Linked DNA regions of Rhinolophus ferrumequinum. The protein of the gene in region 1 interacts with the protein of each later gene in a biochemical or structural test. Links are inferred from orthologs where the notes say so. Each region holds a gene or a part of one and is shown in the gene's direction. Other genes may lie near its edges.

Region 1 (3,746 bases):
CCTCATCTAATCCTGTTTTAGAGATGGGCAACCTGAGGCCCAGAGAGATTTAACTCACCCAGAATCAAACAGCTTGTAAATGGCACAGCCTGGACCCTAACCAGTCTATTTGGTCCCAGGGCCCGAGTTTTACTGTGCTGTACTGATGGGTGTTAAGAACAACAGCTAACATTTATTAAGCACTTGCCAGACTCCATGCTAAGTACTTTATAAGCATTAGCTCATTGCATAACATCATTCAATGTATTTAAGTACAAGTAGAAGCGAATGTATATAAACCTATGCTTGTGTAGACACAAAAGAGATGATGAAACTGGATCAAAGAGACCCACTGAAAGTAAAATGTGGCTGAGTAACTCGTCCAAGGTGAAAGTGGCCGCCAAGACCGTCCACACCGGAGCCCAGAACTTAATCGCTTTCTATCCCGTCTCTCCACTTCTGCCAAGAGCAACAAGAGGTGTACACAGAGAGTTAAAAAAATTAAAGAGAGGACGAGCCCCGCTTCTCAACTCCCACGGAAAGTTCGTTCGCTGGGCTAGTAAGCGCCTAATTACCACCCCCGATTTGCAGGTGAGGACGCCCAGGCACGAGGACAGGAAGAACCCAACCCAGGAGCCAGAAGACGGACCAGGGAGGGAACACACACAGCTCAGAACTTAACGCTCCGCTACCGTCCCGACACAGAGGCAAAGTAAGGATGGAATGAGGGTGGGAGCGAGGCCTGTGTGCAGCAGGGGGGGTGCAGGCCCAACCTGGCAACTCAGGGCGCATGCCTCCTCGCTCACTATCGACCCTTCCCGCCTCACCCCAATCCTTCCCATGGTCCCCTAAAGGCCCCAGCCAACGGCACCAGCCACTCTCCACGTATCCGGGGCCCTCGTACCCGCTTGTCCGGTTCTCACGTTCTCCTGCTCTCCGCTAGAAAAATGGAGGCGCGAATCCTGCCCGATTGATCACTCCGAGCGCACCTTCATTGCGCACGCGCAAAGGACGCCGCACCGAGCGCTGCGCTATCGATCGGCCCACTCTCTCCGGTCCATCTCGCCATCTTACTTACTGGCGCCTTTAAGGGGTCCGTCCGTTCACCTCCTCCGACTTTATCCCCTACGAGACAACCCTGAAGCCAAGGGGCTTCTGTCTCAGACAAAAGTCAAGCCCTGGAGAACACGGCGGGCGCTAGAACAGCTACAGGCCTGCAGGGCCGTTGGCACCACCACTTCCGGGACCTAACGCGCAAGTACGCCTGCGCGCCGTGTCTGCCGTCCTTGGACGTGACTCAATCCGCAGAGTTGCCTGTGAACCAATGAAAATGCAGCGCCTCCCCAGCCCAGGCCAATCAGCTTTTGGATTAGAGAGTTTAACTCCTATTTAAAATGACTCTTTGAATCCTAACGGCTGGGCTCTCGGGAAGACTCGGCGGCTTTGGGTCGGAGGCGAGAGCCAACAGGTGCCTAGGCCTTGGTGTCCTTCTGTGAGGTGGGCAGGCAAAGGCGGCCGGGCTGGGTGGCTTTTTGAGCGGGCGGCGGGCCGGGTGAGAGGGAAGCGAGCACTGAGGCCGCGAGTCCCGGGCTGGAAGAGTCGGGGTGAGAAGGCCTCCCTTGGTTCCCCGTCCCCCTCTGTCCTACGCTTGTCCCTCCCTCCATCCTCTCTTTGTCCCCCTTTCCCTGTTCTCCGTCTCCCGTGCGCTTTGCAAACGCTCTCCCATCTAGCTGCTCCTGGGTACCAAGGCTCCCTGTGAAATGCCGCTTAGTGTTTACTAAACACCTGGCGTTAATGGCGTTGTTGGGGTGGGATGTTTTCTGTTGGGATTCTCCTATTCAGTGAGCGCCTGAGTAAGAAAAAAATACAGAAGGTGTGTGCTGTCTTGGAGTTTATTTCTAGTGGGGGTGGGGAGACAGACGACGAACTAGCAAGGGTAACTTCCAATAGTGATGAGTGGTAGGAAAGAGATAAAACAGTGTGTGTGCGCTTTACCGGGGGCTGCCTTGGGTAGAACAGCCAGGAAAGGCCCTTGCCCTGGCTGGATGGACGAGGGGGTGAATCCATGATAGTCAGAAGCCTTCCTGGGCTTTTCAAACCTTAGACCGCCTATATCGAAATTACTTGGGCGTTTTTCTTAAGCACAGAGGCCCACCCAATGAATCACGAAGGGCTTGGGCATAGGACTCAGGTGTCTACTTTTATCAAGCTCCCCAGGTGGTACTGATGTTTGACAACTAGTGATCTAGACCGGCGCATCTGGGAATGTTGTTAAAATGCAGGATCTGATTTGTTAGGTCTGGGGTGGGCCTGAAAGTCTCTATTTCGAACTGTCCTTGTGATGTATATGTAGCGACTGCTCTTGACGTCTAATGTCTCCTCCTCAGCTTTGCTTGTTTGAATTAAATCCTTTTCAGCAACATACCTCATTTCATTTCCTCTCCACCCCTCTTCATGTATGCAGATATTACTAGGTTGCACGAAGGAAGGAAAAGTCTAAGCCCACAGGGCTTATCTAACAGTTTTCCTGTGTAGAATACCAGGATCGCTGGTTTGAACTGCAGGGATCTTGTGAAGGTCATCTGGTCATGTGACTCCTGAACTTGGCTCCACACCAGAAGCACCTGAGAAGCTGTCTTCCGGGTGCTCTCTCCAGAATTTCTGGATCAAAATCTTATTCCTTGTGCTTATTATTATTAATCTACCTGAGAAGGATATCAAAGTGGAGCCCATGTCTGCAGTTTCTGTGGAAGAACGTTGAATAGGTGTCCTTAGGTCTACGTGATTTCCTTAGTCTGCTGCTTATAATTAATTGTTAGGGAGAGGAAAGCAAGCAGTAGGGTGTGTGAGATTAACATTTGCAACACATGAGCATATATTTCCTTCTCCTTTTTATCTATTGTTTCTCCTACCCACTGTTTGATATAAGGATGCTAACCTCTACAGCCCTGGTCCCATCTTCAAGGTGCAGTGATTTGCATGTACAATAAGTGGATGTGAAAGCCTAGTGTGGGAATGCTTTCTAATTGGATTCTAGAATTCAGAGAGCACCTGGGTGAGAAAAATACAGAAAGATTTCTGCTTATTGATGATCTACTTACTTGACAGGTTGCTGCCTGATTCACAGTATGGGCTTACCACGTGTTGTAAACTACTTTTATGGTTGATTTGCTTTGTTAATGGATTTATTTGTTCCCCATACATTGGCATACATGCCACATGCCAGGCGTGTTCTGGGTTCTGAGGGAGATAGTGAAAAAAATGGGACTGATTCCTTGTTCTCCTGGAGCTTACTCTCTTTGGAGATACTGAACAGGTAGCTGGAGTCTGGGTAGACAGGAAGCAAGTACAAGTAATGTTATGTAAGTAAAATGTTAAGTAAGGGATATGAAGAAAAACGCAGGAGAGGTGGTCTGATAGGGGACATTTGAGCATAGACTGAAGTGAAGGAGCAAGCCGCACTTCTATTGGGGGAAAAGCCTTATAGGTAGAGGGAACAGGAAGTGCAAAGGCCCTGTGGCAGGGAACTCCTTTGAGGAAAGAAAGGAACCCCGTATGGCTGGTGTGCAGTAGACAAGAGATAAGGATGGAGAGGTGGTCAGGGTCCAGGTTCTGAGACTTCATAGGCCTAAGTCTAAGCTAAGTGAAGAAAGGAGTGGAAAAGGAGCGATGGAGCTTGTCATGCTGCCTAGAATGCAAGTAAGATGGAGGCGGAGAATTGACTTTTGGTTTTGGATAGTAGGGGTCAGTCAGAAAGTTGACTAATA
Region 2 (3,746 bases), on another chromosome or scaffold:
TTTGAGGCTCCTCGCCTATGGATCTGTCCTCTTACCTCAGACTTAGCTAGTAAGGGGTGGGTGTGATCCATGGAGTTCAGTTCGGATCAACTTAAATGACCAAGTTCTCATCCTACTCTTCCCCTCAAATTTGCTACTGAGCCGTAGCCAAAATGTGTAGTCCCCACGTGCTTGAAGCCCAGGTCAAATGGTTCTGCCTGCTAACCTGTATTGTTAGTTAGTCCTGCGCGTGCCTCACGCAAGGCATGCTGACCTGCTTGGACTTGGTATGGCCCTAGGCCCAGCCCCAAATCTTCAACTCTAAACCCAGGGTATCCCCAAGAGATACAGATGTCTAGGAAGTTTCCTGTTTCAGGTGTCGATTTTCCATTCTAGCCTTGAGCTGGATAATTCTAAAACATCTATGCTCTACCCCTCCTGTTTTGAAACTGAGGACTTCAGCAAGTAGTGAGGAGACAGAAAAGTTGATAGTAATGTTTGTTTTTAAATAGACCAAATAGGGGCAATGTAGACAATAAACATTTAGAATATGAGGACCAGGTGCCATAATGTTAGGAATCTGAATGAAAATTTAGGATTTCTTTGGTCAGACTATAGCAGGGACTGGCCTCATTTTGTGTTTATCATAAGAGGTATTTATTAAATGGCACGTCTCACCTGAAACAGTCCGCATTCTCCTAATATTTATTTATTCAGTCATCAAACACGGAAGGTCTGTTATGTGTCAGGCAAGCTTCTGTTCTCAGGGCCATTGCAACTCACACCGCACGTATGTGAGTTCTGCTTTATAGAATATAGTTTTATGTGTTTTACTAAAGTGTAAGATCCCTGACGCCTGGAATTGTCTTGTTCCTTTTATTTGTGTTCCCAGTGTCGGTGAGCAGTGCCTTGCACACAGTAGGGACTCAATCAATATTTGTTGAATTGAATTATGCTGTCATGCTGTTAAAAGGCATTACCCAAAAAAGTGCTACGTAACTTTTCTTTGATCGTGCTGAGTCTAAGGCAGATGTGTCAATAGGGCATCATCGTTAATAAATATCGGGTGTTTATAGAGAAGTGTACGTTCACTTCGTGAGCGAAGGATGGAGAGGGCATAACTGGGCAGAGACTCGTCTGGAAGAAGCGTTGTTAATTTTCCTCTGGTCAGTCCAGAGTGATTGAGTAGAGTAACTAGAATTTCAGTCTTCTCATTCTGAAGTATTTTCATCCCTCTCACCTTTCTAGAGCCACCCCCCGCCCCTTTCTGCTTCTTCCCGAAGGGCTGTGGCCAACGAGGTCCACCTCAAAGTCTCAAGAGTTCACCTTGTCTCCCTCCAGCCCTGGTTCAAGAACTCTCCAGACCAGGGGCGCTAGGAACAGCGCCCAGGCAAACACGGGGTCACGCGCGGGGCAAGCGCCAAATTGGCCGCGGCTCCGGGAGCGGCGCAAAAGGCGGGGCTGCTACGGGGCGGGGCGGGGCGGGGCGGGGCGGGAGGAGGCCCGGGGGCGGCTTGGGTGTCACCACCAACCCGCTCCGGCCGGAAACTGGCGCTTGTTTCCGGCCGGACGGCCGAAAATCACCGATCCTGAACCAGTCGCCGGAGCCGGAGTGGCGGCCGGGTGTGGAGTAGGCAAAAAGCCACTGGGGGAGGCCAGTGTGGATCAGTCCCGTCTGGCTCCAGCTCCTGATCCTGTGCGGAGCAACAGCCGCGGTCGCAGTCTCCGCCACCGCCTCCGCTTCCATCGTCGTCGGGGGAGGGGCCGGCCGGACCCCGGGGTCACAGCAGAGGAATGAGGAGAGGCGGCCGGGCCCCGCGCTCCGCCCCGGCCTAGGGCCTTGCCCCGGGAGCCGCGAGGGTAACGGAGCCCCCCGCCCTGTCACCCACCCCCCGTCTGCTCTCGCCCCTCGCACCTCTTCAGTCTCTCAAACTCTGACCCCCTGATCTCCACTGTCCCCCTTCTCCTTTCTGATTATATTTCACCCGGAGCCATCGCCTCTCGGCACCCCCTCCTCGCCCTCACTGTGCCTTGCTTCGTTCCAACCTTTCCCCCGTTACTCCTCCCTCTCACCTGCGCCCCGCGTTCCTCGCCCCCTCCCCCGTTCCTGGCCTCCCTTTCAAGTGTGCTGGGCAGTTTGGACGGTTCCCCCTTGTCAGACTTTCCGGGAGGGATGGTGGAGTTTTAAGGTGGTTAGGAGCGCAGGCTACTACTACCCCATCGTAGGATCAAGTTCATTTTAAAGTCTCAAGGTAAAAGTGAAATGGAAAGGCAACCAGCTTGTTCTCTCCCCCCCGTCGATATCCAAACTGAGGTGCGTCCAGTAATGGAGGAAGGGAGCGAAAAAGAAGTGTGCGTGTGTTGGGGGGGGGAGATTCTCGGGCAGGCTTATGAACTTTAGAAAAAAGGAAAGTTGCCATGAGCCGATGGAAACTTTAGAAGCTGATGATGAGTAAGCTGGGGGCTGCGTGATCTCACTCCTCTTCTCATAATTGCTAGGTTAACGGTGTGGCTCTGGTCGGGATGGAATGGGATTTGTTTACTGGGCCGGCGTATTTTTAGCCTGTCGGCTCACAAGGACCAGCAATCTGTCTCTCTCCGCCCCCCCCCCCCGCCTTTCCCCCCTCTCTCCCTCTCTCTCCCCGTCTAGGTAGTCGGTCTAACTAACGTAGGTGGCTCTTCTGGGCAAAATACAGATATGAATATTAAGCTGAAAGAAGCGGAAATTTTATGTAAGAGATTCTCCCCAAACTCTACAGGGAGTTTTCATGAATGCAAAAGCAAGAATTAGCGGCACTTTGACTTGTATTTTCCTTGTCTTTCTATAAGTACGTATATAAAATGCTTTTTAGAAAATCAGAACCTGGTAATTTTTTCAGTCTTTGGTTTCTCATGCTGTATAGTTAGGGGATCACTGAGGAGGCCGGATCCCTTTGTTTTTCAGAACCTATTTCTAAGGTGGGAAAGGACAAAGTAGGCAGAAGAGGTGGTGGTAAGGCTAGTCCCAAAGCGTCGCTAATCCTAAATCTTTTTAAAAATATTTCCCACACTATATAACTTTGCAAATGTTCTTCGTAGTAAGCGACCTTGCATTCCTGATGGGGTGAAGAGACTGCAGGGACTTAAGCGGGTGCCTGGGGAGAATCAGACTTGTAATTAAACATTTGCTCTGCATAATTTACAAATGAATACATTATAGGCAAACAATTATACTCTTTGTCCTCATTGTTCTTTTGAGCAGTTCTTTAAAGTTTAGTAACCGTACTGCTGTGCTAGTCTGTTGATAATCTTGAAGGCTGACCAGAACTGTAAAATAAATGAAATTGGTGCTGCTCACCTGGGGTCTGAATACCAGTCTGCCCTACTTTCCACAAGCTACCAGGCATGGCTCAGAGCCCCTCCCTGAGTAAGTGGCCAGTTACTATGTACTTAGGGATTGTAAATGAGCACAAATATTAGTTCGTGCTAGGAATAATTGAGAAGGTAAATACGCTGAAAAGATAGTCCAAAACTGAAATAGGTTAGTTTTCAATTTTTTCCATTTTGGAGTATCAGCACCTTTCTGCTGATAATTATCCATTAACATGAATAATTTAGAATTGAACAGATATCCACTGTGGACATTACGCATTCAAGCAGGGAGGAAAGATGGAAGGAAGATAGTTCCCAAACTATTACTAATTTTGTTGTTGTTGTTGCCTGATTTGACTAAAGACTCTTGTGGAAAAAAAAGGTAAACATTGCCAAAAGAAGGGCTGTCTGCTGAC
Region 3 (3,746 bases), on another chromosome or scaffold:
GGATTAAGTGCAAAATGGCAGCTCAAATAAAAGAGCCAGAAAACCAACCTATCAGTTTTCTTTTCCACTAAATTAAGATCAAGAGAGTTGGAGAATATTTTGTCTAGAATGATACAAACATATAGGTGCAAAAATTCTCATATACCTTTGCAAAAAATTACTTCCGTGACCTTTGACTATACAATGACCCTAATAATGCAAGCACTGTTTTGAATGCAAGTATATGGAGGACATTTTCACAATGTTAGATGACTTCAGTGGTTTAAGACATTTTTTAAAAATTTATTGGATAAACTCATAACATGAAAAGAACTTTCAACCTATTCAGTGAAAGTTTGTACATTAAAGTTTGCTTTTCAAAAATGTGTCACTACTGCTTGCTTTCTACCCACAGGTTGTGATTATCTCAAAGGTGAAATTTTAGCATATGACTAAAAGGTCCTATAGCTACAGCTTCATGATTCAGCATCTAACATCAATAATTCACAGTGAGATCACAGGTTCTCTGTGGAAGGTAGTGACATACTTGCCTTATGAAAGGAAGCTTAAGGCATATTGAGAGCATTTTGAATTTAGACTTGTGGCTTGTGTGGGTGTCAGGCATTTGTTTCTTAGCTAGTGAGGGTGCAGAAGGATCCTCCTTTGGGAAAGGCTCTCTGAAAAAGGTGAATTTGGGTTGTAAGGCTAGGATACACACATGTGGTAGCCAGAACCTCCCCAACATGGTTTTCCAGAGTTATCCTGGGCAGGTGGGAACCCTTTCTGCTTTCTGTGGAAAAGATTCCAACTTGGTTCCCTGCCATGACCAAACACAAATGTGTTGATTTTTCTTTTTTGAGCTTCCAACCCTTGCAACCTTCCAAAAATAAATCAAACCAGCCATCAGGGCACCGAAATAATACTACTACTAATAAGCAGCTTTGCCTAGACTTACATAAACAACACTTCTGAGGTAAACTTTGCCCCAAAGGTCTGCACACACTCTTTTTTATGTAAACTTCTTACTAATAATTACTAGACTTGGGTGCATTAACCCCGAAAATAGATTTTAATAGCAACCCCTAAAAACAAAAGACATGAAACGACAATTAAAAAAAATGTGCACCAACTAGAAAAACACTTGGCAGCGTTCTGCAGCCCAAGCTGAAGACACCCCTCCTCCCTACTCCTTGCCACTGCAAAGACCTCCTTGTCCTGCCAACCCCCTCCACAGGATAAGAGAGCCTACTTGGGACCCCGCCCTCCCCTATCCCTAAGCTCGCCTTCCACGTAGCTCCTCCCCCTTCCGCTCCTCTCAGCCCTTGTTCCAGGAGCTGGGGTCAAATTGTCGGAGCAAGCTGATTTGCATAGCCCAATGGTTGCGCGTATGCAAATGAGGCGAGAGGTGGTTGGCTGGAGGGTAGCAGGATAACTCCAGTGAGCCCGGCCTTTGTCCTTCAGTGGCTGTGAGGCAGCTGCGGTGTTGGCGTCGCTGCTCTGGGCTAAGCGAGGCGAGGGGCCGGATAGCGAGCGGGGCGAGAGGGGCGGACCGCGCGGCGGCGGCGGGTGCTAGAGGAGCCTGGCCTGAGGGAGTGCACAGAGCCGGCGCCCGCGTGCCCACGGTGGCAGGAGCAGCCCGCACGCCGCTCTCTCTCTGTGGGGGACCTGCAGTTGCAATATGACTTTGGAGGAATTTTCGGCTGGAGAGCAAAAGACCGAAAGGTAAGTCGGCCGAAGCCTCTCCTTGAACTTGCACTCGCTGCGCCCACCAAAGTGCAACCAGGCTGTGGAAGGTTGCTGGGGAACGAGCGGGTAAAAGTTTGCAGAGAGCACCTCCGGCCTTTCCCCTACGGGAACCCTCCAGAGGGGCGCCGGCGGACGGAAAGAGTGTTTCCTCCCGAACCCGACCGAGCCCCTCTAGGCTGCCTTTGCAAAGGGCAGAAGCGACCCTCCCTGTCGTGCGGCTCCTGCGGCTGGCAGCCTGTGGCTGCGCCCTGCGCCAGGGACTGGCAGTCCGCTTGGGGCGGGGGGGTGGCGGGTGGCATTCTCGGGGATTCTAACAGGACACCCGGCCTCGGGGCGTGCGAGGGGTCATGGGGGGTGACGGGGCCGGGGTAGCCCCGGGCTTGCAGGAAGCTGAGGTGCGCGGTGACTCATGCACTCGGGAGGGAGGGTCGCGGTGCAGGGCGAGGGGGCGCCGAAGGTTCTGAGGAGACCCGGGCTGACGCGACCCTTTGCTCTTGCCGGTGTGTAGGATGGATAAGGTGGGGGATGCCCTCGAGGAAGTGCTGAGTAAAGCTCTGAGTCAGCGCACCATCACGGTCGGGGTGTACGAGGCGGCCAAGCTGCTCAACGTGTAAGTGGGGCCCCTCGCGTGTCCCTCGTGGCACCCCTTTCCACCCCCAACCCGGAGAGGTCGCCCAAGCCGGGTGCCCCTCGCCCTGCAGCGCCCCTTCCTGCTGCTTTCCATCTGCCCCAGAGGCAGCGAGCGGGTCCGGGCACGACCCCCGGGAGCCGGGTGGGTCCGCGCGGGCCCGCAGCGCCTCTGTGCTCACCCGCCCCTCCCGCTGCCCGCAGCGACCCGGATAACGTCGTTCTGTGCCTGCTGGCCGCGGACGAGGACGACGACAGAGATGTGGCTCTGCAGATCCACTTCACCCTGATCCAGGCATTCTGCTGCGAGAACGACATCAACATCCTGCGCGTCAGCAACCCGGGCCGGCTGGCGGAGCTCCTGCTCCTGGAGACCGACGCGAACCCCGCGGCGAGCGAGGGCGCGGAGCAGCCCCCAGACCTGCACTGCGTGCTGGTGACGGTAAGGGAGAAGGGAACTGCGGGCCCGCCCGTCGCGGTTTCGGAGTACTGGAAGGAAGTGAGCCAGGGCGGACAGTCTGCCTGACTGCAGAATAGGTGCCCGTCAAGCGCGTGGCTGCCTTTGCCCCATTAAAGAGTGTGGCAGGACTTTCAGCCGAGATGTGCCAGTTTCATCATCAGGATTTTCTCTGGTACAGAACATGCCTAAGCACGTCGGAGGCTGCCAGCAGCGGAAGAGATCCTTGTGAGTCAGCACTGTCAGCCCAACTACTCCCTACCTACATCTGTACTACCTCCCGTGACTAATTCCTTTAGCAGGGTAGATTAGATAAAGCCAAATAAATTCCTGGCTCACCCTCATTAAGGAGTCAGCTTCATTCTCTGCCAGTCAAAGCTAAAAATAGAAATGGTGTAGGAGACAAGCCTCATTAATTCCCTAGAAATACATAAAGAGGATAGAGTGGAAATTTTTTCTCTGCAATCTTGCATTTTTTTTTTTTTTTTTTAGTGGAGGGTTTCTTTTTTTTTGTTTTTTTTTAACCCCCTGATAAAAACCTTTGGTAGGTAGATAACTTGTAGGTGTAGAGGCAAATGTGATAGCTTTGTCTTTTATATTTTACTACTTTTTGGCTGGTCTAGTTAAGTGGCAGCCCAATTATTTTGTTACTCCTGAAAAAACTTTTTCTTTTTGGAGGATAACAGGTGGCAATTATGTAATAGTTAACTGCTATCAGCTCTCATCTCATTGTATGGGCAGCTAGAAATATTTCTCAGAAGTTGTTCACTCAGGTTTGTGCCACAGTACAAGTTTGGTAGGACAAACCTGTGAATGACACTCATGCAAAACTGAATAATTGTCATGCAAACATGTATGTGATTCAGTGGGTTGCATGAGTTCACACTTCGCAGGGTATAATTTAGTACAGAATTACCCTTAATGATTTTGCAGGAAA

Evidence for each region.
Region 2: of the proteins of AURKA (region 1) and OTUD7B, one has a biochemical effect on the other in vitro, tested with the Homo sapiens proteins (2 studies listed by BioGRID, with this or other methods). The link is inferred for Rhinolophus ferrumequinum from reciprocal best matches to the Homo sapiens genes AURKA and OTUD7B.
Region 3: the proteins of AURKA (region 1) and GADD45A form a complex in vitro, tested with the Homo sapiens proteins (2 studies listed by BioGRID). The link is inferred for Rhinolophus ferrumequinum from reciprocal best matches to the Homo sapiens genes AURKA and GADD45A.

Annotation. Positions count from the first base shown.
Region 1 is NC_046306.1:5,116,604-5,120,349, forward strand, and holds the start of AURKA (aurora kinase A), read left to right. Parts: upstream 1-1,355; 5' UTR 1,356-1,476; intron 1,477-3,746. UniProt on the Homo sapiens protein: Mitotic serine/threonine kinase that contributes to the regulation of cell cycle progression.
Region 2 is NC_046305.1:50,455,445-50,459,190, reverse strand, and holds the start of OTUD7B (OTU domain-containing protein 7B), read left to right. Parts: upstream 1-1,529; 5' UTR 1,530-1,839; intron 1,840-3,746. UniProt on the Homo sapiens protein: Negative regulator of the non-canonical NF-kappa-B pathway that acts by mediating deubiquitination of TRAF3, an inhibitor of the NF-kappa-B pathway, thereby acting as a negative regulator of B-cell responses.
Region 3 is NC_046292.1:49,812,164-49,815,909, forward strand, and holds the start of GADD45A (growth arrest and DNA damage-inducible protein GADD45 alpha), read left to right. Parts: upstream 1-1,428; 5' UTR 1,429-1,657; coding exon 1,658-1,701; intron 1,702-2,233; coding exon 2,234-2,335; intron 2,336-2,556; coding exon 2,557-2,794; intron 2,795-2,990; coding exon of another isoform or gene 2,991-3,037; intron 3,038-3,746. UniProt on the Homo sapiens protein: In T-cells, functions as a regulator of p38 MAPKs by inhibiting p88 phosphorylation and activity.